Linked DNA regions of Ovis aries. The main gene of each other region encodes a partner of the protein of the gene in region 2 in a complex. Links are inferred from orthologs where the notes say so. Each region holds a gene or a part of one and is shown on either strand. Other genes may lie near its edges.

What was found.
Region 1: RBM15B (region 2) and METTL14 share a complex: the UniProt entries of both Homo sapiens proteins name them as parts of the WMM complex. The link is inferred for Ovis aries from reciprocal best matches to the Homo sapiens genes RBM15B and METTL14.
Region 3: RBM15B (region 2) and CBLL1 share a complex: the UniProt entries of both Homo sapiens proteins name them as parts of the WMM complex. The link is inferred for Ovis aries from reciprocal best matches to the Homo sapiens genes RBM15B and CBLL1.
Region 4: RBM15B (region 2) and ZC3H13 share a complex: the UniProt entries of both Homo sapiens proteins name them as parts of the WMM complex. The link is inferred for Ovis aries from reciprocal best matches to the Homo sapiens genes RBM15B and ZC3H13.
Region 5: RBM15B (region 2) and WTAP share a complex: the UniProt entries of both Homo sapiens proteins name them as parts of the WMM complex. The link is inferred for Ovis aries from reciprocal best matches to the Homo sapiens genes RBM15B and WTAP.

What each region holds. Positions count from the first base shown.
Region 1 is NC_056059.1:7,055,152-7,061,410, reverse strand, and holds the start of METTL14 (N6-adenosine-methyltransferase non-catalytic subunit), read left to right. Parts: upstream 1-2,203; 5' UTR 2,204-2,360; coding exon 2,361-2,426; exon of another isoform or gene 2,427-2,456; intron 2,457-6,259. UniProt on the Homo sapiens protein: The METTL3-METTL14 heterodimer forms a N6-methyltransferase complex that methylates adenosine residues at the N(6) position of some mRNAs and regulates the circadian clock, differentiation of embryonic stem cells and cortical neurogenesis.
Region 2 is NC_056072.1:49,434,821-49,441,205, reverse strand, and holds RBM15B (putative RNA-binding protein 15B), read left to right. Parts: upstream 1-2,513; 5' UTR 2,514-2,621; coding exon 2,622-5,306; 3' UTR 5,307-5,652; downstream 5,653-6,385. Other genes in the region: MANF (mesencephalic astrocyte-derived neurotrophic factor), read left to right, coding at 1-62. UniProt on the Homo sapiens protein: RNA-binding protein that acts as a key regulator of N6-methyladenosine (m6A) methylation of RNAs, thereby regulating different processes, such as alternative splicing of mRNAs and X chromosome inactivation mediated by Xist RNA.
Region 3 is NC_056057.1:50,283,385-50,289,036, reverse strand, and holds part of CBLL1 (E3 ubiquitin-protein ligase Hakai), read right to left. Parts: intron 4,902-5,652; coding exon 4,828-4,901; intron 2,246-4,827; coding exon 1,207-2,245; 3' UTR 1-1,206. UniProt on the Homo sapiens protein: E3 ubiquitin-protein ligase that mediates ubiquitination of several tyrosine-phosphorylated Src substrates, including CDH1, CTTN and DOK1. Targets CDH1 for endocytosis and degradation.
Region 4 is NC_056063.1:16,422,595-16,428,296, reverse strand, and holds part of ZC3H13 (zinc finger CCCH domain-containing protein 13), read left to right. Parts: intron 1-1,962; coding exon 1,963-2,066; intron 2,067-2,425; coding exon 2,426-3,604; intron 3,605-4,241; coding exon 4,242-4,754; intron 4,755-5,702. UniProt on the Homo sapiens protein: Associated component of the WMM complex, a complex that mediates N6-methyladenosine (m6A) methylation of RNAs, a modification that plays a role in the efficiency of mRNA splicing and RNA processing.
Region 5 is NC_056061.1:83,742,119-83,748,473, forward strand, and holds the start of WTAP (pre-mRNA-splicing regulator WTAP), read left to right. Parts: upstream 1-2,893; 5' UTR 2,894-3,237; intron 3,238-3,362; exon of another isoform or gene 3,363-3,536; intron 3,537-6,355. UniProt on the Homo sapiens protein: Associated component of the WMM complex, a complex that mediates N6-methyladenosine (m6A) methylation of RNAs, a modification that plays a role in the efficiency of mRNA splicing and RNA processing.

The DNA.
Region 1 (6,259 bases), on a different chromosome or scaffold from region 2:
GATGACCCACCTGTTACTGAGTTTAGCCCTTTTGGCCTAGCCTGGACCACTTGCTTTTGATCTGTAGGGTTTAATACTATTTTCAAAAAGTAAATCCCCTCTTGAAGAATATAGACTTGTTACTAATGTTACTAAGTACTTGCCACAATTTCCAACTAAACATGGAGCTACATGACTTTCTTAGCCTACTTCTGCTAGTACTTTGAATTTGGAATAAGATGATAATATGGTGCATAGCTGTAATAACTTAAGACTTCGTCTTTGCTGCCTTCTATAAAGAGGGGAGAATCATTACTGAGCCCCCTTCTACAAGCATGTTATCTCAGTAGACTATGTTTTTATATCTCAGGGTTATTTCCAGCTAAGACAAATGCACAAGCACAAAAAAGGGGTCCCCTGGCATCTGACCTCTAGAATACAACCAAGACTTGTTTTCCTTTGACCCATCTGTTCAAGTCTAAGCTCATACTGCTTGCTGCACAAAAGGCCAGTAATCAACAGGCAAGTAGCTGGGACAAGGAATAATGACTTCCTTTGGAAAATCAGTTAAGCAAGAAGAGAGTGGGCTCACGCCTCAAAGAACCATCTTGCCTGAGTTAGAATTTAGGCTTTTTTTTATAGTAAAAGTGGAGGGAGTAAAGTCAAACGCTTTCTGTTTCCTATCAGCCTCTGGAGAGGGATGTGTTAATCTCTTTCTCCTGGCAGTGATTCACAGGTGGGTCTGCTCCGGATGTTTCCTATGAGAAAGATTTTAGCTTAATGCGCATTCCCTGGAAAGCAGGGTTCCCAGAGATAGGCCGTTTATGTATAATTTAAGTGTATAGACAGCATCCCTTTAGTGATTAACTGATTTTTCTGGGCTTCAAAATCACTGCAGATGGTGATTGTAGCCATGAAATTAAAAGACATGTACTCCTTGGAAGGAAAGTTATGACCAACCTAGATAGCATATTAAAAAGCAGAGACATTACTTTGCCCCCAAAGGTCCGTCTAGTCAAGGCTATGGTTTTTCCTATGGATGGGAGAGTTGGACTATAAAGAAAGCTGAGCCCCGAAGAATTGATGCTTTTGCACTGTGGTGTTGGAGAAGACTCTTGAGAGTCCCTTGGACTGCAAGGAGATCCAACCAGTCCATCCTAAAGGAGATCAGTCCTGGGTGTTCATTGGAAGGACTGATGTTGAAGCTGAAACTCCAATACTTTCGGCCACCTGATGCAAAGAGCTGACTCACTTGAAAAGACCCTGATGCTGGGAAAGATTAAGGGGAGGAGGAGAAGGGGACGACAGAGGATGAGATGGTTGGATGGCATCACCGACTTGATGGACACGGGTTTGGGTGGACTCCAGGAGTTGGTGATGAACAGGGAGGCCTGGCGAACTACGGTTCTTGGGGTCCCAAAGAGTTGGACACGACTGAGCAACTAAACTGAACTGTAACAGAGGACAAAAATGTCAAGGTGAAAGTGTTAGTCACTCAGTCCTGTCCAACTCTGCGACCCTATGGACTGTAGCCTGTCAGGTTTCTCTGTCCCTGGGGTTCTCCAGACAAGAAAACTGGAGTGGGTTGCCGTGCCCTCCTCCAGGGGATCTTCCTGACCCAAGGATCGAACCCGTGTCTCTTATGTCTCCTGCACTGCTGTTCCCTGCCTAAAGGGAAATATAAGTAATAATAAAAATCTCAATAAACACCTTCATGGTGGTATGCTTTTAGCTCTGCTTATTCTTTCAATCTTCAGCTCTGTAAAGTAGGCCCTCTTATCACTCCCATTGTACAAATGAGAAAACTAGAGGCACACAGAGGGTGATTAACTAGCCAAGGCCATTCAGCTAGTAAAGGACAGTCCTAAGTTTAAACCTGGCAATCGGACTCGAGTCTGTGCTTTTAGCAAAAAACCTGGTATCCAGCAATTTTTAAAACGCCAGCACTGGCCACTGGGGAATTACTGGAAAAGGGAATCGACAATACGGCCCACAACTCGGAAACAGTGCTATAAGACCTAGGAAGCCTGCAGTCCCAGGAGAGGGCAGTGAGAAGCCAGGCCACCTGCCCGCACCACTGTGACAGCCCGCGCTCTCTGCAGGGCGGTTACCTTCCGTGACGCCCCGGGCGCCGCAGGACACTCATTGGGCCTCTGCTAAACGGCGTCAAATCGCGGGCGTCCATGGGGAGGCGGGACTTCCGTGGTCCGTGGCGCAAAATTCCGGCCGCGCCGGAAACACCTACTGAGGAGAGGGTATTGGGTACCCGCCTCCTGAAGCGGCTGGAAAATTTTGTGATCCACAGATTCCGAAGAGAAATTGGCGCAAGGGTTCATCCGCTAATTGCCAAGTTTTCGAGGTAGTGGAAAACAAGTCGGGATATGGACAGCCGCTTGCAGGAGATCCGGGAGCGGCAGAAGTTACGTCGACAGCTTCTCGCGCAGCAGGTCCGCGGCCCAGGGAGGGGTCGCGAATGCGCGTGCGCCGCGTTCCCCGTCCCTTTCTCCCCGTTTTTCCGTCTCCTCGCCTGCCACCCGGCAGCCCTTCCTGGTCTTGCGACTTTAATCCCAGGACCTCTCTACCCTCTCTACCCCGAATCGTTCCCCTTTCATGTTGTGGTCCTTGCGGTGGTGCTAAGCCGACCGCCACGCCTGGTCTTCAGCATCCTGTGTGGAATGCCCGCCAGGGGTCTGGCATCCTCAGTGATGAGGATACAAAACTTTGGTGTTTGTGTGTAAGTTATCGCAGTTCACGCGAGGAAAGGGGAGTCGTTAGCCCCTCAATTTCTCTTCACTGTTTAAATAGTCTTTTGTGTCTTGCCTTTTCTCGTATCAGCGCCTGATTCATGAGACTGTGGCTTCATTGTGAAATAGGTTTACAGTGTTTTTTCCTGGGATAATATCCAAAGACCGCGTTGGCAGTAGCCGGAGTGTAAATTTTAGGTTCTGCATCGTGGGTGTTGCAGTCGACTGTGTTGTATACGGTATCCTCGTCATTACCCACAGCTAAATGTTTGAATTCTTTCCTCAGTCACAACAGATCTCTCAAAGAGGTAGCGTTATCGTCACGTAATGAGACACGGGCGCCGGTGGCTAACGAATTTTTCCCTCGAGTCGTTAACCGCTGGGCCAGTAAGTTGAACCCTGGTTTGTCTCTCCAAAGCTTGTCTTCACCGCGGCTGGCGTGTAAATTGACACGTGCTGATTAGTAGAGTGCATATGCAGAAAATGCAGATGCCACCTTTGCTTAAAGTCAGAGGCTGTCTTTTCCTTTCTGCCCCTCGGATCAGTAACAGTGATGGGGGAAATGCTCATAAGCTTTAATGAGGGATCTTAATAGTTATTCAGAAATAGTTATTTTTTTTTCTGTAATGAATCTTGGTTTTAGTAAATGAAAATCAAAGATATAGCTTCTTTTATGACATGATGAAAAGATTTATGGTATAGTGTTTAAAATGTCGGTGCTTGGGGAACTTCTCTGTTGGTCCACTGGTTAGGACTCTGCGATTTCATGGCTGTGGCGTGGGTTCAGTCCCTGGTCTGGGAACTAAGATCCCTTAAGCCCCGTGGTGTAAGCCAAAACGAAAAAAAAAAGTGGGTGTTTGGAATTAGGTCTGTTCCTGTGCCTCTGACATTATGATTTTTTTGACAAATCAGGTATCTTTTTCAAGCCTTCTTTATCCCAATTGCTTTTATCATGTTATGTTTGAAAATGTTCAGTGACTCTTTATTAAAACCAAGTAAGATTTTGACACTTAAGTTTTGAATTCAGACCGATATTTGACTCAAAATACATACATAAAAAATTATTTCTTCAATGTCTTACTATGTACCAGGAACTCTTGCAGATGTTGGTAAGTCCGCTATGAATGATAGGTTATCCTACCTTTAGAGAACTTAAATAGTGTACAGCATTTAATAATGGCTGCCATTTATTAAGTCCATTTTATGTGTCAAGGGACTTGACAAATTTTTACGTATGTTATTTTATCATACAAGTCAGATGCTATCTGGATCTTATAGGTGAAGAAAATAAAGCTCAAAGAATTTACCTTACATGCTGAAGGTGACAAAACTTAAGTTTGCCAGCTTCGGTCTTAGGCCTTTCTGTGCTCTTGCCAATACACCTGGTTCCCTCTTGGAATAACTGGTTAGATACCATTCCACCTGGGTGAGGATGGCCAGTATAGTCAATAGTAGACTTCCACTTTACCAGAAGCCTTTTTTTCACTGACTATGTGAACAAGACAGACTGGTTGCTCTCCAGAAAGTTGTTTGTGTAATATAGACATTGTAATTTTTAAGAAGCATCCTTTCTTTCTGATTTCTGTCTATCCTTTATGGCACAGCCCAGGGCAGAACTTTGTGATGAAACTTGGTCTGGAACTCCCTGGTTTAGGCTTTTCTCGCTCTGTGCATCCATTGTCCTGACTGAATGTTGAGGCCACTGCTGTACATCACTAACTCGTACAGACAATTCCAGTTGGGTTAATCTTCTACCCTAACTTTGTTTCTTACCCAAAGTTAGTTTTTAATAAGTTTTTGTTGATTCGTGAACTTCAAAGTAGAGCACAACTCAGCGTATGTAATTTACTTGATTTGCTTTTGGCTGCTGGATGAAGATATCAGATGCAGTGTGTAAGTAAAGTCGCTCAGTCGTGTCTGACTCTGCGACCCCATGGACTGTAGCCTATCAGGCTCCTCCGTCCATGGGATTTTCCAGGCAAGAGTGTTGGAGTAGATTGCCATTTCCTTCTCCAGGGGATCTTCCCGACCCAGGAATCGAACCCAGGTCTCCCACATTACAGGCAGACGCTTTACCGTCTGAGCCACCGGGCAGTGTATAGGCACACACTATGATTGTGGCCATTGATGCTGCTGCCAGTAATTTACACCTGCTCTTTAACTTGTAGCTTTGTTTTTAAAAGTAGTATACTTTCAGAGGATACCAAATTGTCATAATTATTCAAATAACATATTTAGTGCTACCACAGCGGAAATGGCAACCCACTCCAGTATTCTTGCTTGGAAGATTCCATGGACAGAGTAGCCTGGTGAGCTACAGTCAAGGGGGAATCACAAAGAATTGGACACGACTGAGCGCACACATATACACACCCACAATGGAAAAAGTCTGTTTAATTACTCCAGTCATTCCACAATTTAAAAAAAGTTGGAATACAAGAAGACGATTATGTATGTAAGCACAATTTGATTTAAAACGTTGTCTTATAAAACATCGTATTCTAATTTAGGCCCTGGCAAGAAATCTCATTGGTTTATTCACATATTTATTGAGCATCTAGTATAAGTAAGACTTTATAATAGCTCCTGAACATTAGATATCAACAGGATAGAGTTCTTCCTCGGTGAGCTAACAATTCAGTGGGGGAAGAAGTAGACAAAAGTAAACATAAAATAATTGATGTGTACAAATATAAAGTATAAAATAATATAAATAGGGAATAAACAAAAGTAAAACAAAATTAGTTTGTATTTTGATCTGAATGAGAACTATGATCTGAATGAGAAAATGAGGAGGTAAGAGAAAAATGCAAGGAGACTACCTGTTCTCTCTAGTGTTCATGGAAGAACTCTCTGAGAAAGTGACGTGTATTTATCTGAGAACTGAAGGGAGTGGAGTCAGTCACTTTCATGGGAAGAAGGTTAAAAGGCATTTCCCCTTACAGAAAGTAGATATGGTTTCCAATGAAACAGAGTAGGGGTCAGGAAAATTTTATGGAAGAGTTAAAATATCAGGAACAGTTAACATATTGGAAGAGATTTATCATTGGAAAAACCTTAGGGGAGTCATGGAATAGTGTAAAGAGGCAGTGGGAATTAATGTAATTGTGTAATAAAAATTGTTTAATAAAGGCTGGGCTCTAGTATGCTTTCTTTCCTTTTTTGAGCTCAAGGGGCTATATAATGCAGACTTCCTCATGCTTTTCTTGTGCTTAAAAATATTAAGTGATTCCTCATGGCTTGTAAATTGCTTTCTATACCTTTGGTTTGGTGTTTAAGTGTTCCATGAATTGACGCCACAGTTTGTAGCCAGACTTATCTCAACTGGTGATTTTTTTTACATTTGTATTTTGTAGAATTTACCCAACTGCCAGCCATAACTTGCATAACTATTTTTCAGGTATTTGGAAAGTTTAGTATTGTGCCTGTAATCATTATATAAAGACTTGGCTTGAATAAATCTGAATAGTATTTATTACAGTATGGGATAAATAAGGTATAGCACATGAAGTATATGTACTATATAAAATAAATAA
Region 2 (6,385 bases):
AGATTAATGAACTGATGCCTAAATATGCTCCCAAGGCAGCTAGTTCACGGACTGATTTGTAGTCGGCTCGACCCCTGCTGCTCCTGAGGGAGAAAATACTTCATTTGTGTCTACCCCAAACAGCCTTTTTGTAATTTATTTTTTAGGCAGGCTCCTGACAAAGTCAGGTGTGAAGCCTGGAGCTTTCCTGATGATGCTGGGTGTACAGCGTCCCCTTGGGGGAGATTCACTTTGTTCTGTTGCCCATTTAACTCTAGGACTTCAAAGTATGTCTGGGATTTTTTTATTAAAGGAAGAAAATTTCTAGCTGTCCTTGAAGAATTAAAGTGAATACTGAAATAGGGTTTTACCCATGATGAAGATTTCACCGGTTTATGCTTTCCGGTTTACAAGAGTTTTCAGGTATATTCACATTTGTCTCTCAACCACCAGGCAGTGCTGGGATGCCAGGACAGGACATGGGGCCTGCCGGGCTGTGCAAGAGTGGAGAGGTTCTCAGGGAGGAGGTGGGGCTTGATACCCCCAGGGCACAGGGACTATCTGGAGAGGGGGCTGGGTTGCAAGCAAGACGGGTTTAATGCAGTTTTCTGCAGTGATGACTTCAGTAACTGAGTATGTTCAGTACTATCACATTCTGAAGATACTCGGCCTGGCTACCTCCATCAGCCACTGTCCAGATCTGGCCATCTGCTTGCTCAACTCAGTTTGTGGTCCAGTGTCAACCCTAAGCTTCTGGTACCTAGTTGGGATTTTGCAAGATTGGCAGGAGCTGGTTTTTACAAAGAGCCAGTGAGAGGCTGTCTTTTGCCTTTGTTTACCCAAGATAGGCCTAACAGTTGAAGTCCTGAAAGGGTGTCCCTGGAGTCTGGTTTTTTAGTTGCTCTTTTGGGGGTTGGTGCACAGGAAACCCAGTGACCAGCATGAACTGTGACTCAGATTGCTCCTCCTGCCCTCAGAGACCACCACAAGGGGAGGACTAAGAAACTGCGTGCATGCTCTGACCTCGGGTCACGTCATTTGTGCAGTTCCTAAATTCAGTTTGCCAACGTAAAGGGCCCTCAGCCGGCTGTGGGGTTCACTAATGGCTGTGAGCAGCAGGCCCACAGTTTTCAAATCTGAGAAAAGTAAGAATGCACTTGTTAGGCCAAGTGTTCCCTATTTGGAGGAATTAGATGGGCTGTTATGATCAGACAAGCAAAGTGTTCTGAGCCCCTGAAAGGTGTTGAGAAACTGCATGGCTAGAACCAGCAGCTGAGTTCTGGTGGCCTCTGTGTCCTCCAGGTTACATCAAACAGGGAGGACAGCCCAGCTGCCACCTGAGGGTGATCCCCAATGTTATCTTTAAAAGGGTTAACTCCTGGAAGCCGCCTAGGAGACCTGGAACGTTAACAGGTGTTTCTTGTAAGACGTTAATCTAGTGCACCTGCGTTAGCTGCTGCAGGCGCTCCTCGCAAAGGCTTCTGGTCGTGGGAGGGCAGAAGCGCATGCGCTCTTCCCCACGCCTCGGTTTCTGTGGCTTTAAGTTGGGTCAGGTCTTGTGAAGCCTCTGGTTAACTCTCCATGGAAAATGAAAGTTTCCCTGAGGGGGCTTGGCACCTGAACAGGATTTCTCCATGTCACCACCATGGAGGTGGATACGAGAGCACTGGCCAGGGAGAGGTAAGCATGGCAAACGGTAGCCTCTGGGTTCGGCCTTCTCTTCCCCCTTGGCTCCGTGACCCTGCCCTTACAGCCCTCTGTGTACTCGAATGCCCAAGCGGACCCTGTTCCCACCCTAGAAAGTGAAGTCTCTCAGTCGTGTCCGATTCTTTGTGACCCCATGGACTATCAGGCTCCTCTGTCGTGGGATTTTGCAGGCAATAGCACTGGAGTGGATTGCCATTTCCTTCTCCAGCGGATCTTCCCGACCCAGGGATCGAACCCAGGTCTCCCGCATTGTACAGACGCTTTACCGTCTGAGCCACCAGGGAAGTCCACCCTAGAAACCACAGGTTTTGGATTTCTGTGCCCAGCCAGGGACCCAACAGGTCTCACCGTCGTGCATAGCCATGGTTCTCAAGGCCTTTCGGGCGGCTGCCACGAGTGAACATGAATGCAAGGGATATTCGAGATACGGGGTGTGGGTTCAGGTTGTTAATGCCGGACCCAGTCAGTAGATGCCAAGGAAGGGCTTAGAGGTGGTCACCCAAACTTAGTCCTGGGATTGGGGGAGTATACTATAAAGTTCAAGGCCTGGAACACCCACGCCTGTGAGGCCTCTCTCCAGAGCTCCAGTTTCTGTGGAGCCCCGGGCCTCGGCCACGCCATCCACAAGGTGGCGCCAGAGCTCACAGTGCGGGCGTTCTCGCCAGCTAGCCACAGGGTCACGTGGTACGGGGCGGCGCAGCCCGATGACGCACGCCCGGCGCTGCCCTCGCCCCGCCCTCCATAGGGTCACGTGGTCGGCCGGCGCAGCCTGATAACGCGGCGCCCCGGCCCTCAGCGCAGCTCCCGCCCCGCCCCGTCGCCGCGCCGAGTCCTTTTGTCCAAGATGGCGGCGCCGGGGGCGCTGCCTCCTCGGCCGCCGCCGCCGCCGCTGTGAGGGGCCTGCGGGCCGCCCGCCCGCCAGCCGCGCCGGCGCCATGAAGAGGCAGAGCGAGCGAGACTCCAGCCCGAGCGGGCGCGGCTCGTCATCGTCGGCCAAACGGCCGCGGGAGCGCGAACGGGAGGCGGAGGCGGGCGGGCGGCGGGCGGCGCACAAGGCCTCGGGCGGCGCCAAGCACCCCGTTCCAACGCGGGCCCGCGACAAACCTCGCGGTAGCGGGGGCAGCGGCGGTGGGCATCGCGACGGCCGAGGCGCCGGGGACGCGAATCACCGTGCGAGCAGCGGCCGCTCCTCGGGCTCGGGCGCCGGCGGCGGGGGACGCGGCGGCAAGGCCTCAGGGGACCCAGGCGCTTCGGGCGCGTCGCCCCGCGCATCTCCACTACCGCCACCTCCGCCGCCGCCCGGGGCCGAGCCCACGGGTCCCGGCTCCTCAGCGGCTGCACCCGAGTACAAGACGCTGCTCATCAGCAGCCTGAGCCCCGCGCTGCCTGCCGAGCACCTCGAAGATCGGCTCTTCCACCAGTTCAAGCGCTTCGGCGAGATCAGCCTGCGCCTGTCGCACACGCCTGAGCTGGGCCGCGTGGCCTACGTGAACTTCCGGCACCCGCAGGACGCGCGTGAGGCCCGCCAGCACGCCTTGGCCCGCCAGCTACTGCTCTACGACCGTCCGCTCAAGGTGGAGCCCGTGTACCTGCGAGGCGGCGGCGGCGGCGGCGGCGGGAGCAGCAGGCGAAGCAGCAGCAGCAGCGCCGCCGCCTCCACTCCGCCCCCGGGCCCGCCCGCGCCCGCAGACCCGCTCGGCTACCTCCCGCTGCACGGCGGCTACCAGTACAAGCAGCGTTCGCTGTCCCCGGTTGCCGCCCCTCCGCTGCGGGAACCCCGCGCCCGCCACGCTGCAGCAGCCTTTGCTCTAGATGCGGCCGCGGCCGCCGCCGCCGTAGGCCTATCCCGGGAACGGGCCTTGGACTACTACGGGCTGTACGACGACCGCGGGCGACCCTACGGCTACCCGGCCGTGTGCGAGGAGGACCTGATGCCCGAGGACGACCAGCGGGCCACGCGCAACCTCTTCATTGGGAATTTGGACCACAGCGTGTCAGAGGTGGAGCTGCGACGGGCTTTCGAGAAGTACGGCATCATTGAGGAGGTGGTGATCAAGAGACCCGCCCGTGGGCAGGGCGGTGCGTATGCCTTCCTCAAGTTCCAGAACCTAGACATGGCCCACCGGGCCAAGGTGGGCATGTCGGGTCGGGTGATAGGCCGCAATCCCATTAAGATAGGGTACGGCAAGGCCAACCCCACTACGCGTCTCTGGGTGGGTGGCTTGGGACCTAACACCTCACTGGCGGCTCTGGCCCGGGAGTTTGACCGTTTTGGGAGCATTCGGACCATTGATCATGTCAAGGGAGATAGCTTTGCCTACATCCAGTACGAGAGCTTGGATGCAGCCCAGGCCGCCTGTGCTAAAATGAGGGGCTTTCCCTTGGGGGGTCCGGACCGCAGGCTGCGCGTGGATTTTGCCAAAGCAGAGGAGACTCGGTATCCCCAGCAGTACCAGCCCTCCCCGCTCCCTGTGCACTATGAGCTACTCCCCGACGGGTATACCCGGCACCGGAACCTGGATGCCGACCTGCGGGTACGGGACAGGACCCCTCCGCACCTCCTGTACTCAGATCGAGAGCGGACCTTTTTGGAAGGGGACTGGACCAGCCCCAGTAAAAGCTCTGACCGCAGAAACAGCCTCGAGGGCTACAGCCGCTCAGTGCGCAGCCGGAGTGGTGAGCGCTGGGGAGATGGGGACCGGGGCCTGCCCAAGGCCTGGGAGGACAGGCGGAAGCGCCGGAGCCTCTCCAGTGATCGCGGAAGGGCCACCCACTCCCCTTACGAGGAACGGAGCAGGACCAAGGGTGGTGGGCAGCCTGCGGACCGAGGCTCCGACCGCACCCCGGAGCGTAGCCGCAAGGAAAACCATTCCAGTGAAGGGACCAAGGAGTCCGGCAGCAACTCCCTCAGCAACAGCCGACACGGGGCGGAGGAGCGGAGCCACCACCACCACCACGAGGCTCCCGACTCTTCCCACGGGAAGAAGACCCGAGAGAGCGAGCGCAATCATCGGACCACTGAGGCCGAGCCCAGGCCTCTGGAAGAGCCAAAACACGAGACCAAAAAGCTCAAGAATCTTTCAGAGTATGCCCAGACGCTGCAGCTGGGTTGGAATGGGCTTCTGGTGTTGAAAAACAGCTGCTTCCCGACATCTATGCACATCCTAGAGGGGGACCAGGGGGTGATCAGCAGTCTCCTCAAAGACCATACTTCTGGGAGTAAGCTGACCCAGCTGAAGATTGCCCAGCGCCTTCGCCTGGACCAACCCAAGCTCGATGAGGTCACACGGCGCATCAAGCAGGGGAGCCCCAATGGCTACGCAGTGCTCCTGGCCACGCAGGCGACCCCCAGTGGGCCTGGCTCTGAGGGGATGCCTGCGGTGGAGCCTGGCCTACAGAGGCGGCTTCTCAGGAACCTGGTCTCCTACTTGAAACAGAAGCAGGCTGCAGGGGTGATCAGCCTGCCAGTGGGTGGATCCAAGGGCAGAGACAGCACAGGCATGCTCTACGCCTTCCCGCCCTGTGACTTCTCACAGCAGTACCTCCAGTCAGCGCTGAGGACACTGGGCAAGCTCGAGGAGGAGCATATGGTGATAGTCATAGTGAGAGACTCGGCCTAGCCCAAGCCTGGCTGCGCCGGCCTGTCTGTCACTCAAGCAGTTATTTTAAAGTCTGACGCGGCTGCCCTGCACCCCCTGGCCCATCGTACACCCTTGATTTGAATTCTCTGCTGGGTTACTCCATTTCATTTGGTAGGGGACCAAAGTCCTATCTCCCCACCAAAAACTAAGTTCTTAGGTTTGGGTTTTTTTTTTTTTTTTTTTTTTTACCGTGATGAGAAGGGACTCCTGTCGTGTCGGCTTCTAGTGTATGAAATACTGTCTGCTGTGTTCTGTATTTTTTTATTTTTTGACTAACTGTATGGAAAATTGTCAGTAAAGCCTTTGTCAGAGGATGGATTTTTAATCCTGTTCAGAGTCCTGGTTTAATCATACGATTTTCTCGAAGGATGGAAGACTGTCCCCCGCTGCCTGCACACAGATAGGTGCCTTCCGGCATCTTTCCACTGCCGGTGTGTCTCCCAGCCCTGCTGCACTGGTGCCTGTCAGCCCCCAGCTCTTGGGGCTGTGGCGGGGCTCCATTCACAGGAGTTTCTAATTTGGTCTGAGAGCAAGTGGGTTTCATTTCAGACCCTGCCATGCAGCCTCCAGAGCCCACTGCACAGGAAGGGGTTAAGCCTAAGTCTAGCTAGCCGCTGTGGTGGTGTCTTTTTTGGTTTCCTGCCGTGAACAATCTGTGTGTCCGTCAGGTTGAAGAAAGCACCTAGTTTGCAGGCGTTTTTGAAAGCAGGTAGACCTTAGACCTTCGCAGTCGTGGTGTGGTAGTCATGGGAGGAGCAGTGCAATATTGGGGTCTTGGTGCCTGGATGTGCCCAGCTTCCTCCCCTCGTTAGCCTCCCTTCCCCCCTTAACGCAGCAGCCTGCGGATACCCAGGTGGAGACCACGCTCCTTCGGACTCCCAGGGGCACCGGTGGTCCCACGTTGGAGTGGAGGGTGGGAGGCCACTTTCCTTGGTTAATCCCTGAACTTTTCCCAGTGCTTGTGAATCCTGGCTTTTCTTACGATCGTTCAGGGCTGGTGTGGGCCTCTGCCCGGGCACTGGAGCAGACTGAGGGACATGGGACCTCTGGCCTGAAGA
Region 3 (5,652 bases), on a different chromosome or scaffold from region 2:
AGACTGCTTAACCAATGAAAGAAACAGGAAGTCAGTAATAGTTTTTAAATGTTAAGTTAGAGAAAAACACCTTATCATACAGTAATGAAACCTGAGCAACGCAAGTATGTGATTACAAGAACATCCTTCATTAATACAGTATTCAAATTCCTCCATGGCATTCAAATTATACTTTAAAACCCAATAAACAAGAATCCACTTAAGCACAGGATCAAATTCTACCATGAAATGAGGAATTACATAAAGCCTATTCAGCCCAAAATATTTAGTTTCAGACAATGAGCAGAGAGGAACACACTTCATCTAAAGAATACCACTTATACAGTTCTATAAAATGTTACTTAAGGTTAATAAGTGTGATGCATATGACTCCAACCATTCGGTAAAAAGCATTAATGAGTAACAGCATCCCCAACAGCTTGGAGCCTACAGAGTTGATTACTTTGGCCCTATCTTTCCAAAAATACAAGCAATGCCTCTTAACATTACAGACATAAATATTCTTAGTACTGGAATTTCAATGTATTTTGGTGCTCCTGAGGCTGCCTATAAATGAAAAGGCATCCAAGTGAAGTGCATTATATACCTAATATACCTCAAAATTTCAGTGCCTAAAATGTGAAATAATTTTCTACCATTTAACAGTCTGCCTTACAGTAAATTCTATTAGATTTTTACTTTTAGGATTTTATTGTAACTTTGGGAAATTAGTGGTAAAACATATGGTTTAAAAAACAGTATGTGGCTGCACTTAAGTTCACATAAAAATAGTATTTTTACAACCATATTGAAGTTTAATCCTTTTACACAGGTTAACAAAATGTATCACAAGAAAAACTTAAACATTGGGTTTAACAAAAGACGTACTTTTGAAAGTGGAACAATGGAAAAATGTTTTCAATTTTTTTTTTTTTTTTTTTTTTTTACAAATGGTCACCTCTGGGTCAATTTACCACACTAGGGGAACAAAGTTCTTAAAATATAGCTGTGCTCAACTGAGCCACTTAACTGCACTACAGTATAGTACTTGAAATCAATCCTAAGGTCAAGATTTAAAACCATTTTAAGAGACAAGACCCTAAGTGTTGTACAGCCACCTCAGCAAGAGGCGCTTTTCCTTCCCCGAACAGTCAAAGCTTAAAGAAAAGATTGACTATACATATAAGTTTTGTTTCCTCATCATATCATCAGTTCAGAATACTATTATCATTGGTAATACGGTCTATATCTTGTCTGATCTGGATGATGTGGTCCAGGTAGTGGGGTTTGAGAAGGCGGACCCTGCATTCGTGGAGGAGGAGGTGGCCCTCTCGGTGCAGGCCATATACCAGGACTCATTCCCCCTGGTTGTGTAAATGGAGGGCTCAGAGTTCCTTGATCTTCAGTGAACTGGGGTAAAGAGTTGGGATTGTAATGGTGAGGAGGGGGTGCAGTTACAGGTGGACCACCATGTTGAGGTGGGGGAGGTCCTGGAGGAGGATGATTCATATAAGGTGGCATCTGGGCAATAATATGTCCAGGGGGAGGGGTAATTGGTGGTGGAGCAGAGGTCATTGGTGGAGGTGGAGCTTGGCTGTACACCAAGTGAGGAGTACCTGCGGCCTGGGGAGGATGTGGCATTGGATGGCTTATTGGTGGTGGAGGAGGTGGGGGTGGTGCATAATGTTGCTGTGGAGGCATAATATGATGAGGGTGCGAGACCACTGGTTGACCCTGATATTCAGGATGATGGTGAGCAGGTGCGGGGGCAGGAGGTGGTGGTTCTCTAGCACCTGGATTTGAGTCATCCTGAATAGGGACAGTTATTAAATTGCTGTGTTTTCTTGTTGAAATACGAAAGGTTTCCTGACTGACTGAGCGAGGTGGAGGAGGAGCCATGGACAATTCAGCTGGAGGAGCACGGATATCCTCGTGTGGCTGATTATAGTGCTCGTGGGGCACATGTTGCAAAGGAGGTGGTGGCATCATGATGTGCTGCTTTGGCGGAATATGGCTCATATGGTGCTTGTCTGGCGGCATGATAAAACGATCGGGGATTTCAGCTGGTGGTGGGGCAATAGGAGGAGGATGAACATTTTCAAGTGAAGCCCGGGTAACAGGTTTTCCAGCTCTCATATGGCGGTGGTTGATATGAGCCTGTAAGTCTCTCTGAGACAAGTATGTTCTCTTGCACCCTTGAACAATGCTACACATGAAGAGAGAACCTCGTGTACACTGCTCAATTCGCTGCACAGGATCACTACAGCTAAATCAGAAGGGGAAAAAAGTTTGATTTACTAAAAACAGACTATAAAAATAATGCACTAAATTTCAAAGATATGACTAGTTTTAAATTTTATTATGGAAAACATTGCAAAAAGTTCACAATTAAAAGTTATAGTTTATGTAAGTGAACTTTTAATCTTTTCCACTTTGTGGTTTGTTTGCTATTAAGCATCAGCATTTCTGTCAACATCAAAATTCTTAAGAAAAAAATTTAAAGTGTTTATCAAACAGAGTAGGTTTGAAGCAAAACCCTTTTCTTACCAAGATTTAGAATTTATCTGATTTCACAAACAATTCTATGTTTTGAATCCGTGTGCAAAAAACCCCAAAACTCCAGGAAGGGCAAACCAAAGGATCTTGTCAGAATCACAAAATGCAAACCTGTAGAGTATTTATTGACCAGTAAGCAATTTTATGAGCAAATAATACTACGTAGAAGATACTAAGTGAAAGGTGTTGTAAGAACTACAAAAATAAACAGGATCATCCTAACGATCAAGGTTCTTAATATTAAACAATATTTCAAATTCAAACCATGAATGCCAAGAGTCCTTTCAAGGAGGGAGTCTTCCTGAATTGTCAGACAAATCTACTACTACAAAGTATTACACACTCCTACTTTTCTAAATTATAAACACTAAATTTAACTCAATTATTTTCTTAATAAGTCAGGGTCAAATTGTAACTATTCTTCATCTGCTGTTTTTTAATCCACTTTTGCCTTTAGAAGGCTTCTTGAAACAACAGAAAGAAGACTGAACTAGGAATTGGAACTGGGACCTAGTATTGGCTGAGATCTTGGAGAAGTCATTTAAACTTTGTTTCTTTATCTGTAAAATGGGTTATAACATCTAATCTAACTCATAATGCTTTTATATAGACTTCACCCTACTTAAAAGAACATTTGAAACATCAATGAAACAGTGAAAATGACAGGACTTAATGATTAGTTAAGCACTAAACACGTATAAGCTATCATCATTGAATATGTGGATCCGGTCATATGACCTGTATCAAATGGCTCCATATTCTTGATTTGGAGTGGTGGCTGGTGTTTCTTCCTCACTGTAGGCTGGTACTACTTCTTCATACTTAGGAGGCTTCCCTTTAGTGGCCATTTGGCACACTTCTCATTTTTTGCTTCTAATTTGCTATAAACTCTGAAATAGCTCCACAGTAACAGGATTGGGAGGTGGGGTGTATTTCTTTGGGTGAGGCTTAAGCATTAGTATATAATATTTACATTAATTAGGGTTGTCATTTCTTCACTTTCTGACCCAGGTCTGTTAATCCAGATAAGCTTTTGTTTTAATATCCCTAACAAGCCAACCAGTGATATGCTTACTGAAGTTACACTGAAAAACTTGAAAACTAAATTCCCTTTTAAATATTAACATCAAAACACTTACATAAAAGAGAAAACCTTCTGATGTCCTCTACATGGTGTTTTACAACATCCAAAATCCCTTATCTCAATGAGGCAATCAAATTTACTATAGAATTTAAGCGGATGTACACTGTGTTGGAAAATCAGGCACTACAGAAACTGAGGCAAATAGTGAATATGCACTATCAATTTCCTAATTCTTTTGAATTATAATTCTATTGAGAAAATATTCTTTAAACTCACACTATAAAATTTATAATATATGACTTTAAAGGGCTAATAAAATATGCTAAGAGAATTACTTCTTACTGGTTTGTTAATGAATCTTCATTCTCTCCCACAGATGCTAATCTTCCTACACCATAAAAGAAAACTATCCCTTACAACTGTCCACAATTTTATTATCAACTAATATTACAACCCTTGGGATAGGTTCTAACTTAGGTTATAAGTGACCTAGAAAGCCTACAGTTGTTCCCAAAGAAGTTTCTCTCAAGGTTTTTCTTAAGTCTTCTATCAGGGGTTCTGAATTGATATAAAAATTCATAGTTTATTCTGGATCCTTACTATTCCCAAAAAGATCACTATCGATCAACACCTCCCTATGGTCTTAATTTGTCTGAGCCTGTCTTAGAACATGAAGGTGTTGTAAGATGTACTCAAGACATAATCAGATTTGAAGTCAATAAATAAAGAGATTATACTTACATAGTACTTGCTATCTGCTACTCATTTACTTCTAATAATAACCCAGGGAGGTAAGTACTATTATTAGCTCCATTTTACAGATAAAGAAATCATGTATGTGACAAAATAAATCACAAAATAAAGATTTGAATCCAATAATTCTAATTCCAGAGTCTTTGCTCGAAATCACTACATGATACTACCTGTCTAGCATCCCATTAAAATAAGAAAGTATTTTTGGTTTATAATGCTAACTTTGTGATGTATTTATTATTGTTATTTTGGCCAATGTGAATTAACTGATAATAGCTAATTAGCCCTATCCTAAGGAGAAGGTTATAGCCAACTCTAGGTTCACAGAGAAACATTTGCCAGGTCTACACACTTGACATCTTGCCAACGGTCTATATCATATCCTCACCTTTAACCTAGATCATAAATCATTATATCACAATCCTTATTATTTAAAAATTTAATGATGATCTTACCCCGGACACATCTTATCTCCCTTTTTTTCATGTAAAATAGCACAGTCATAGCAAAACACATGCTTGCATGGAATCTGCAAACAGAGACATGTTACAGTTAATATTCTAGAGCAAATTAAAATATTTCAATAAAAAGCAACAGTGAGCGCAGTGACCTAGACATGGAAGGTACTTGAGAACTGTTGGTTAAAATGAACATATATTAAGTACTAGTTACATAAAAGCAACAGTTAACCTTCTTCAGTCACAAAGCTCTTTGTGAGAATGCAATGAAAACTTTGGCCCTTCCCCAAAAAACATATACATGCACATTCATGGTTCCTACAGGTTAAAAGCTCCTGAAGAATACTGTACAACGTTTCACCTAATCCTATTATCTCCACAAAGTATTTCATGGCAGTGAAAGAATACGTATCCTCTACATTTAATATAAGCAGCCTTCTTCCCTGGTAGTCTTAAGTTAATGAACTTACAAATATTTAAAATAAATCAGAAGGACACAGTAAAATAATGTTACACTATTTTAAAACTCACAATTCATTACTGTTACTTAGTTATGCCACACAGCAAAGCAACAGTGCAGAATCCACGGCTTCTACCACCACAGATTTAACAGTAAATTCAATTTTTTTCCAACAAAAATGTAAAACTATCTTTTCATATATGAAGATTACTATAAAATTACAGTACTTTAAGTGCTTAGAATACCCAGAAATCATAAATAATATTTAATTCCATTTTATATTAAAAATTCTAGCCTTTAGAAATAACTGATTCTGTTAAAGAAAAAATTTTTTTCCTTAAGGATCAAACCATTCAAAGAAA
Region 4 (5,702 bases), on a different chromosome or scaffold from region 2:
GGATAAGGTTAAATTTGTTAAGACAAACTGAAAATCATTTATATAGCTTCAGTTTCTTTGCCCCTACTTCTAGCTCATTTGCCTCATGGTGAATACATTCTCTGCTTTAGGTATTTTCATCATTGCTGTTATGGATTTTGGTTATAGACAAGCAACATACCACAGAAATGGAGGCTTCTTCCGTTAGGTCTTGCCTTCCCTTCAGTCTGTAGCCGTGGTTTTCTATAGTTCACTCTCTGGCTTCCCTCACTCCACATTAAAAGAAAATATCTCACATTAAACATAAAATTCAGATATTACCTTTAACACATGTAGGCACAAAATATGTATTCTTTCTCTTTTCTCTGGCCTCTTTAACTCTGTATCTTCTAAGATTAAAATTCTGAAATATTTGTTATTTATTTTTTAGTCCTATGCTTTGATTATATTTTTCATGCTTCTGATCTCAAAGTACAGTATTTCTTGGAGCTTGTCATGGTTAAATATTCCAACCATTGACAAGGGGCCCAGAAATTTAGTAGTCAGCTACTCAATAAAGTAACTTAGTATATGAGATAAATATCTTGATGTTTTTATCTATTGTCATCTCAGTATATTGTCATGGTAGAAGTTTAAAACCACCACCATTTATTTGGTCATGATTCTGTGGGTTGGCAGTTTGACTCAGCTCAGCAGAGTGGCTCTTCTGCTATTCTCACGTAGGATCACTCTGTTTCTCCAGTCAATCTAGCAGGTCAGCTTCCTCACATGTCTGGCAATTGGTGCTGGTTGTTGCTTAGGGCATCTTGACCTCTTTTCCTCTAATAATCTAAACTCTGTTTTTGCATATGATAGTAGACACATACCAAGAAGGCAAAAGCAGAAGCTGAAAGGCCTCTTGAGTCCTAAATCTCCAGACTTACACAGTGTCATTTTCACCACATCCTCTTGTCGAACATAGTAAGTCACTGGGTTAGCCCAGATTCAAAGGATGGGGAAATAGACTACCTGATGATGGCAGGAGATTTAGATAAGGAATTGTTACAAGCTTGGGCCTGTCAGGTGTCATACTACATCTGGGGCCTCATTTTCTACCTGGTTGCTCATCTGTATAAATGGGCCATCAAGGAGGTACATGTGCTCATGTGCTACAGTGTTACTCAACTTCTGGCCATAGTATTTATAAACAGTATTTGTTAAAAAAAAAAAAAAAGTGGTCAAAATTCAGTGAAAATATAGGAAAACACTAGAATAACTTAAGTATCCAGAGATACAGAATACTAGTCATCTAAAGTTTAAAGAGTAAAAAATAGTGAACATATGAATTATTTTATTAATTTGTCATTAAGTAGATGATTTAGTTCTAAGAGGTGAGTTAGAACCAGTTTTTATCAGTGTGCCCACAACATGACAGGCACTGGGCTTATGACATAACAAATTTATTCCTCACTGCAGTTTTATGAGATGAACCCCCATTTTTCATCTATATTCAGATGAAAAAGCTAAGAATGACTTCAAGGAATTTATCTAAAATTGCACAATAAATAACATGACGAAAAGTTGAACTCAAGTCTTATTTGACCCCAAAGCCAATACTAGGTTTTCTCATTTGGCTTTCCAACAAAAGGTATTTCTATATCATAAAACAGTAAAACTGATGAATAAGTTTTAGTAGAGTTGAATCCTCTGCTGTGTTACCACTTTACAGTAATTAAACCTGGTGAATGTCAGTGAGCAATTCTACATGTATGGTGAAAAAAGCAGAGATGGTGCCATGTATTTTAGTCCACGATCGTTAAGTCTCAACAAATGAAGAATTTTGTTAAAGATGCTAAATAAATGCCCTTTGTATGATACAGATAGCTCTGATAGTATTGTTATCCTACAATTATATATTCTAGTTATAGTAAGAAATAATAGTAAAAAAAAAAACAAATCTTTTTCATCCCCTGAAATCTTACAAATTACGTTTGTGTGATTTAGGAAGCGCTATAGAAATGAAGGGAGTCCTAGCCCTCGTCAGTCACCTAAGCGCCGGCGAGAGCATTCTCCTGACAGTGACGCCTACAACAGTGGGGATGATAAAAGTAAGCAGAATCTGTGTTCCCTGTTTCTAGAGTCAGACTCACTTGCAACCATGAGACAATTCTTTTACATCAATAGGGAATGATGAATTAAGATTTAAAATTTTTACTTGCTCTGCTGCTTCTGAATATATCACATTGTGACTAAAAACAACTATGTGTTTGAAATATGTAGTCGTTTTACCACAGTGGCACTTGTCATTTCCCACTAGTTGTAGTAAAGCCGTACTTCGGTTTTTACTGAAATTATTGCTATTTTTAAACTTTTAAAATGAAAAGGGAGACACTGGTTTGTTACTTATAGGTAACATGCAGTATTGTTAACATGATGAAAGTTTGATGACTTTTATCTTTTGGTCTAGATGAAAAACACAGACTCTTGAGCCAGGTTGTTCGACCTCAAGAATCACGTTCTCTTAGTCCATCACACCTTACAGAAGACAGGCAGGGTAGATGGAGAGAAGACGATCGTAAACCAGAAAGAAAAGAAAGTTCAAGGCGCTATGAAGAGCAAGATTTCAAAGAGAAAGTTTCTTCTGTAGATAAGCAGAGAGAACAGACAGAAATAACAGAGAGCTCCAGAACTCGTTCACAAGACCTGACAGGACACCACCCATCTGAAGATCGAGACACTTCTGATGGAGCTTATGAGGAGAGCAAAAGAAAAGCAAAGATTCAGAAGAAGCCTATTAAGAGAAAGAGAGACGATGATGTTGGAATGGGGAGGGGTAACACAGAGATAGCGTCTGAAGATGCTCAAGTATTTTCACCAAAAAAAGGACAGAAGAAGAAAAGTGTTGAAAAGAAGCGTAAGAGGTCCAGAGGTGATTCTGACATCTCTGATGAAGAAACGGTGCAGCAGAGTAAGAAGAAAAGAGGCCCGAGGACTCCGCCTATCACAGCCAAAGAGGAGCCGGCTGACATGCCCAGTGATAAGGATGGCGCTCTGGAGGACCCTCAGAAGAAAGAGGATACAGCGTTCAGTGACTGGTCTGATGAGGACGTGCCTGACCGCACGGATCTGACGGAGCCAGAGCATGCCGCCACTGCCGCCACCCCTGGAAGGACCCCTTCGCCGTCTTCTCTCCCTCCTCCCCCGCCTCCTCTGTCTGCTACCGCGGCCACCCCTGCCACGGCCTTCAGCACATCGACCACCACCATCTCCACCTCCGCCCTCCTCACCACCAATACATCTTTTACCAGTGAAGACTCCCATAGGAAGTGCCACAGAACACGAGCGGAAAAGGTAGAGGCGCCTCATGTTACTATAGAAGACGCACCGCATCGCAAGCCAGTGGATCAGAAGCGGAGCAGCAGCCTCGGCAGCAACCGGAGCAATCGCAGTCACACGTCTGGCCGTCTCCGCTCCCCATCCAACGACTCTGCTCATCGAAGTGGGGATGACCAGAACGGTCGAAAGAGAGTGCTGCATAGCGGCTCAAGAGACAGAGAAAAAACTAAAAGTCTGGAAATCACAGGAGAGAGAAAATCCAGGATTGATCAGCTAAAGCGTGGAGAACCTAGTCGAAGTACTTCCTCAGGTAATAAAAACAAATTGTAACCTAACCAGTGTTTCTTATGTGAGTGTATTTTGTACATTTTTATGTTTTGTTCAAATTATAATTTTAAAGTAAATGATAAGTTGTTTATACACTGCCTTAAATTTTTTCAAGGAGCTTAAAACGCTTAGCCATCCCACCATGATGTTACCTATTATCACATTAATACCAGTAGAGTAGAGGTACATTCACTCACTCAGTTTAACACCAGCATCTTAGTATATCTTGGTGGAAAGCACTTACATGTTCAGGTTCTCTATTGATGCCTAAAAATTTTAACCTGGTTCTGCTTCTTGCAACCAGTGCTTTTTCTCTGTTGACTGTGTAAATGAGGTAGGGGGAAGAGGAGGAGGTACATAATGAAATGGTCAGTTCTGTTAATGCTTACTTATTTTTACATATTTCTTTAAAGATCTTTTGTGGTTATAGTGGAAATAAGGAAACAAACATGCTTTTTGCATATTTGACACTACTGAAGAGTGGTGGATGTTTTTCTTTGAGATGAATTTTTTCCTTAAGATGAGTTCTTTGGATAATCTAAAATAAGTACCGAAAAAGAGAAATTGTAAATTTTAATTTATCATGTGTTAAGTCTTTGTATATGGTACATTGATTTTAGATCGCCAGGATTCAAGAAGCCATAGTTCCAGAAGAAGTTCTCCTGAGTCAGATCGACAGGTCCATTCAAGATCGGGGTCGTTTGACAGCAGAGAGAGGCTTCAAGAGCGCGACCGTTATGAGCACGAGAGAGAGCGGGAAAGGAGGGACGTCCGGCAGAGAGACTGGGAGCGGGATGCCGATAAAGATTGGCCCCGGAATAGGGAACGGGATCGACTGCGGGAACGAGAGAGGGAGCGGGACAAAAGGAGAGACTTGGACAGGGAGAGGGAGAGACTACTCTCCGATGCCCTGGAAAGGGACCGGGAGAGGGACAGGGACAGAACGTTTGAAGGTTCTCAAGTAGAGTCTGTAAAACGCAGTGAAGTCAAACTGGAGAGTGACCATGACAGAGACCTAGAAGGCGGCTCCCGAGACTCTGGAGCTTTGGATAAAGAAAGGCTGGATAAAGATCTGGGATCTGTGCAGGGATTTGAAGATGCAAGTAGAGCTGAGAGGACTGAGAGTGTGGAAGGTGAGTGTCACTCCTTTCCGTCTGTTTCTCTCCCCCGTTTCGTCTCAAATCTCATAGGAAACCAGTACTTCCTTTTGAAGGGTTATCTGATATGATGATTGACTCCATTGTTTTAGGGAAAATAGATTTTGTAAGGAAAAGGCCTGTGATACTTAAAAAACTTGTACTCGTTAGTACTTTTAAGGTAGACTTGGTTCTAATAAGCCTAAATGAGATAAAATTATAGTCATCCTTCAGTCTGTCAGTATCTGCAGGAATGAGTTCCAGAGCCCGCCACAGGTAGTAAAATCTGTGGATGCTCAGGTCCCTTATTAAAACTGACTACCAGCTCGTAGAATGAGGGACTCTGAGAAGGCCACGTACACCCTTTTTCCCAGTCAGAGTCAGCCTCCACTGCGGCCCTCTGTTGTCCATCCTTCACCCCCAGCCTGCTGTACAAACTGACTCACCTCTGTTCTCTGGATGGTCTCCCTCCTGAAGCCTTCTCTGAGCCTGCTCTTCCCATTGCCTGACAGACTTTTTCCCTTCTATCTTTTCTTACTCAAACAGCAAGTCCCAGTTTATAGATTATTTCCTCTGTGAAACCGTCTCTGCTAAAGGTGCTCTTTAAAATTGACAAAGCACCTTGTTTATACATCTTTAATAGCATCTCTGCACCATATTGTAAATTATTTTTCCATGGTTCTCTCCCCATTATATTGTACTCCTTTGTTAGGCACCATAGGTTTTTATTTCTTTATCTTCACGCCTCTAGCAAGGACACAATAAATAGCTGATGCATGAAAATCTGTCCTGCCTGTCCATACCTGTCCTACGTCTTATTCTGTGATGAATTATAGCCCAGGGTAACAATAGTAATGGCCTCTCCTGAGAATGCTCCTGGAAATTCTGCTTCCATGAACTGTCCAATTCTGATACCAGCGCTTATGTGCCGTTTCCACTTTAAGC
Region 5 (6,355 bases), on a different chromosome or scaffold from region 2:
CAATTCTCCAAGGAGTTCTGGTTCTATTTAGTGGGAATGGAATTTAGAAGCCATGAGAGGAAGTTCCCTCAGCATTACTCTGAAGTGGCCTGTGCTTGCCTGGGACACTTTCTGCTTTAACACAAAGTGCAACATCCTGGCAAATCCCCTCAGTCTCTGGGAAACTGGGACAGTTGGTCATGGACCAGTGCTCCTAGGCCCTTTGGGGGCACAAAAGTAGTAAATCTATTTTTTAAATCATGTGCTCAAGTTGATATATCCAATTTAAATATATGTGTTGTGTGTTTAGTGTGTTTAGTCACTAAGTCGTGTCCAATTCTTTGCGAGCCCATGGACTGTAATCTGTCAGGCTCCTCGGTCAGTGGGATTCTCCAGGCCAGAAAACTGGAGTGGGCTGACCATTCCCTTCTCCAGGGGATCTTCCCAACCCAGGGATCGAACCTGAGTCTCCTGCATTGTAGGCAGGTGGGTCTCCTGCATTGTAGGTGGATGAGTCTCCTGCATTGTAGGTAGATTCATTACCACTGAGCCACCAGGGAAGACCCTTACAGGTTTTTTCCGAACTTCTTTGATCTTATATTTGTATCTCATTTTCTCTTACAAAGTCTTATACATGAGAACATTAAAATATTTGTATTATCCAATATACGTAGTTTCAAAACCACAGAAACAATATTACCGTTAATTATAAACATCTGATTGAAACTGAAGATTCCTTTGCAGTTTTTTTTCTTATCCTAAGCCATCCCACCGCAGATAATTCTCTTAAAGTACTGTGTCCAGAAGACCTGTGCAGTTCTTTTCTCCATGTAACAACATAGTTACGTTATCAATATGACTTAGAGTTAAGCTTATTTTAATGTGCTATCAACTTTGGGTTCTTTTTAATGTTTATGGGACAAGCTTCCAATTTTCCAAATAGCCTGGCACGTATTTCAAGGTAACAGATATCACCCTCATTCTGTTTTTCTGGCGGCATTGTATTCCATGATATGGATGTATCATGTCTAACCAGTTCCCTATTAATGGACATTTATTTCCAAACTTTTGTGATGACACTGTCACAAGTAACCTTGCCCACATGTTCTTTCTGTATGTGAAGTTGTCTTTTCAGAGTAAGGTTAGGGTTAGACTTGAAACTGCAAGACCTAAGAATAAGTGCATACATAATTTTGGCACTCCATAGGGCTTGAATCATTTTCCCATTCCCACCAGAAAACGCATAAGCACTGTTTCTCCACAGTCTTGTCATTTCAGTGGGCATTTCCATTATAAGTGAGCATGAACAGTTCTTTCCTGTTTACCAGTCATTGCTGTTCTTCTGCAGGAAATGTCTACTCATGTCTTTGTCCATTTTTCCCTTCAAATTTTGGTCTTTGACCACCTAGAGTATACTTTGTTGTCTTTCAGTTGCTAAATCGTGTCCTACTCTTAGCAACCCCATGGACGGCAGCACGCCAGGCTTCCCTATCCTTTCACTATCTCTCAGAGTTTGCTCAAACTCTTGTCCATTGAGTCAGTGATACCATCCAACTGTCTCATCCTCTGTTGTCACCTTCTCCTCCTGCCCTCAATCGTTCCCAGCCACAGGGTCTTTTCCAAAGAGTCGGTTCTTTGCATCAGGTGGCCAAAATACTGGAGCTTCAGTTATCAGTCCTTCCTGTGACCATTTGGTTGATTCCTTGTAGGATTGACTGGTTTGATCTCCTTATTGTCTAAGGGACTCTTAAGAGACTTCTCCAGCACAATTCAAAAGCATCTAAGCGTATACTGTACTTTTATCCTTATAAATCACCTCATTCCAGAACACCTCCTTTGGGGATAAACGGTTTTGGTGAAGCTGGATAAGGGGAGCCCAATGCAAAGACTATCTGACTCCTCCAGTAAGTTTAAGAGTCTAACATCCACCAGACAACACCATGGTTCTGTGATAGACCAGTTGATCGTGTAAGGGAGGGTATCTGAATTAAAATTTGTATTAGAGGGTTCTTTAGGGGCTATTTATTGTCTCTCATCTCTTACTCAACTATCCTGTATGATGACAGGGAGGCCGGTGACTTAAATGCAGCGTCTCTGGACCAAAAGGAGCCCCCACCGTGCCCTGATATAGATAATACCTTAACGTTTCAGACAGTGAGCCTGTTGCTAGGCCTGGAATGAAGTGGACTTTGCAGTCTCTTGCAGTGAGGGAGAGGAGAAGGCAATGGTACCCCATTCCAGTATTCTAGCCTGGAAAATCCCATGGACGGAGGAGCCTGGTAGGCTGCAGTCCATAACGTCACTAAGAGTCGGACACGACTGAGCGACTTCACTTTCACTTTTCACTTTCATGCATTGGAGAAGGAAACGGCAACCCACTCCAGTGTTCTTGCCTGGAGAATCCCAGAGCCTGGTGGGCTGTTGTCTATGGGGTCGCACAGAGTCGGACACGACTGAAGCGACTTACCCGCAGCAGCAGCAGCAGCAGAGGGTAGAGTAAGCCATGGAACATAAGTCATGTTAAGAAAAATTGTTTATTATTGCTCGCCACTCATGGCAAGATACTTTCTGAAACAAACGAAACAAGACAAAAAGAACTCAGGAGGTTGAGTTAGCAAGGTGCCCCCAGAGCAGCAGACAGAAGTACAATCTCCACCTCCCAGACAATAGCTCCCAGGTTTCGCCTCGAGATTTCAAGGAGCAGTCGAACCAAGCGTCCACTTCCAGGATGAAGAGAGGGCATCGGTTTCTAAAGTATCAAAACCTAGAGCAGCGACGGTTCGCGACATCTAGACTGACCGCATTCGCTGCCTAAAGCCGTCCTCAGGAGACTTGCACCTGGCCCGCCAGCACGCGGAAGCATCATCGCTGGGCGCTGCACCAAAGGGCAGCCAATCAGTCACTGCCTTCGTCCAGATTCCTCCGCCGGAGGCCGCGCCGCAGCCGCAGGTGGCCCGGCGAGCGCGTCCACCCAGCGCCGCCAATCGCGACCCCCGCCGCCCTTCCCGTGATGCCCCGCGGCTGACCTGCGACCTCGCGGCTCGCCTTTCCCTGAGGCCGGTTTTTCTCCCCGCCCCCCTCCCCTCCCCTCCGGCGAGCTTGCAAGGGCTCTAGCGGCCGCGGGGCGTGCCGCCGGGCGCAGCTCCTCCCTGAGCGACTGCAGGCCTCCCGGCAGGCGCCTTCCCTTAGCCTCTCCTCCTCGCGGCGGGGCCCAGCGGGCGGGTAGCCGCGACCGCGTCCGGGAAGCACTACCCGTCGGTGAGTGGGCCGGGCGCGAACTCCGCGGGGCGGAGAAGCGGGCGGGCGCCAGCGGCGGCGCGGGGCGGGGCGGCGGGAGGAGCGGGAAGGGGGTGGGGCGTCGGGGCCTCGCTTCCTCCCTCAGCGCCATTTTGTGGCAGCGAGACCCGCAAATAAAGGGGAGCGCCGGGGTTGCGGCGCGGAGGAGGAGCGCGGGGGCCGGCGGCGGCGGCGCGGTCGGGCGGCCTGGGCGGCGAGAGGACAGCGCGGGGTCGGCCTATGTGACTGGGCGGGCGCCGGCGCGGCCTCCGTTTGGAGAGGTAGGTGCGGGCCGCCGCCGGCTGCAGCGGAGGCGAGGACCTCCGAGTCCCCAGGCGGCTGAGGTGCGGCCGCCCGGCCCCGGAAGGGGCCAACTGAGCGCAGGAGGCGGACTCGGGGTTCCCGGGCCCCCCGGCCTCCCGTTAGCCCCGCCGTCTGCCCGCTGGCAGGGACGACACTTCCGCCGTCTCGAGGCCATTTTACCTCGGTTCTCAGGGAGCCGGGGGCGAGGTGGGCGCTCCCGCGGGGCCGGCAACGCCGGGAGGCCGTCCCCTCGGAGCGCGCGTCCCGTCACCCCCTCGGCGTCGCGGGCTCCCCCACCTCCCTCGGCAGGATCGTGAGGACCGGCGGCACCGACGAGCCGAGGGGAGGAAAGCCGCGTCCGTGAAGCACATTTCACGTCGCGCAGTAGCTTCCTACTGCAGCTGCGTTGTCTTGTAGGCTTCCATTTTTAAATGAGTGCATGCCTTCTAACTAAAATAAATACTGACTGAATTCAAGGTTTTCGTGAAATTTTAAAATCTCGCCTTGGATCTCTCTAAACCGCATTTCTCTAGTCAGTGGGGAACACGTAGTGGAAAAATGTCCACGTTTGTTTTGATGAAGTCAGGTTGGATATTTGATCCCAAAGGACTAGGTTAAAATCCGTAATAACCGTGTTCATAAGGGAAGCAATGATTCTTTTGCCGAGATTAGAGAAAGGTAGAAAAATATTTCCATGAGCATGTTATGGTCCTGAGTTCATATAGTTTTCTACTTAAGAATTTGGTTCCATCACTAAGGAGGATAAGTGGAAGTCACAGGTCTGTCACCACAAGTTTCTTCAAAAAGAAAAGTATTGTGAAAATCTTTGCACGATGCCTGTTACACATTTACATATGTCATTTATTTATTTATTTTTTATATATGTCATTTAGTATCATCTGATTAGGCAAGTTGGGGAAAGAAAATGCGGCGTGTGATAAAGATGAGGTTAAATTTCAATGATTTGTTTCGCTGTATTCCTACAGTTCTTTCATATCTTACATTATCTTCAGTAGTTAGCTATAGCTAAGTGATCAGTATTTTCACTTCCCAGTAGCAGAACTTAGGCAAACTACCTAAATTTCTAAGTCCCAACTGACAAAAGTAATGATGATCAAGTGTATCCCAGGCACAGCTAGTTTTTTTACTTAACTCATCTAACTTATAGAACTTCACCGGTTTGAATTTTGAGTATTTGTCAGAAATGAGTTGGTATACAGAAAATTCATAGCCTTGTGGCATGGAGAGGAGAGTTGTAATAATTATATTTGTCCAGTCCGTTACAGCACTCAGAGTCCCTTACGTTCATCTAAGTATGTATATATGTAATACACAGTTCCCCTGGAAATATTGTTTATTTTAGAGTCTCGATCATTTTCATACAATAGAACATTATCTTGCTGTTGAAAAAGATTTTTCTTAAAAATTTTCTGTGGGATCCTTTAGCAAAACAAGACCTAAACAGTATTTGGTTTTATTTTTGTTTTTATTAATTATCTCCCATTATTCTGCCTCTAAAAGTCCTGTCTGACTCTTCTGCTACCCGGTGGGCTGTAACCCACCAGGCTTCTCTGTCCATGGAGTTTCCCAAGCAAGAATACTGGAGTGGCTTACCATTTCCTTCTCCAGGGAATCTTCCTGACCCAGGGCTTGAACCCGTGTCTCCAGCTTTGCAGGTAGATGAGCCACCTGGGGCTTAAATATATTCTAGTACTAAGCTTACTAGAACAAAACTTCTCAATATTCCTCTAACACTATATCCCATTACATATAAAGGTGGTGCATCAGGCTAGAACTCCATGCTATAAAGAAACGGTCCTAAGTCTTGAAAATGTAGTTGGTGGAATTTAATTTTTTCTAAGTGCTCTTATGCTAATATTAGTATTTTATTTGAAATATATTTGTTTGTAGAGCATCTTTATGGTACTTAAAGCACTGAGATTTGTAGCATTTGGTGAGGCAGGCAAAATTGGCATCCTCTTTGCTGATTTAGAGGCTGCAATCTAAAGAAAATGACTTGCTCAATATCACATGACTGATTATTACGAAGTTAAGAAAAGCTGGTCTTCCAATTCCTAGCTAGTACCCTTTCTGCTGTTGTGCCTTGATTAGTACAGTGTCAGATTATTAGTTTCTTGCATTTAGTTACGATTAGTTTCAGCAAGGTACTGGTTTGTTACTGAAGTTGTGTCATCTGGTACGTGCTAAGTCGCTTCAGTCTTGTCTGACTTCTTGCGACCCTATGAACTGCAGCCTGCCAGGTTCCTCTGTCCATGGGATTCTCCAGACAAGAATACTGGAGTGGGTTGCCATGCCCTCCTCCAGGGAATCTTCCCCACCCAGGGATGGAACCTGTGTCTCTTCTGTCTACCTGCATTGGCAGGCGGGTTCTTTACCACTATCGCCACCTTGGAAGCCCACACCATCTAGTGAAAGTCGCTTAGTCCTGTCCGACTCTTTGCAGCCGCATGGACTGTACAGACCATGGAATTCTCCAGGCCAGAATACTGGAATGGGTAGCCTTTCCCTTCTCCAGGGGATCTTCCCAGCCTACAGATTGAAGTCAGGTATTCCACATTGCAGGCAGATTCTTTACCAGCTGAGCTACAAGGGAAGCCCAAGAATACTGGAGTGGGTAGCCCCTCTCTTCTCCAGTGGATCTTCCTGATACAGGATTTCATGACTTAGGATCATAATGCTAAAAGCTGGGAAGCCCTGGGATATGGGATGCTAGGTACCTAACCAACCAGAACTGAACTTAACATCATAATGTCATTTCTCAGTGTAAAGGCATCAA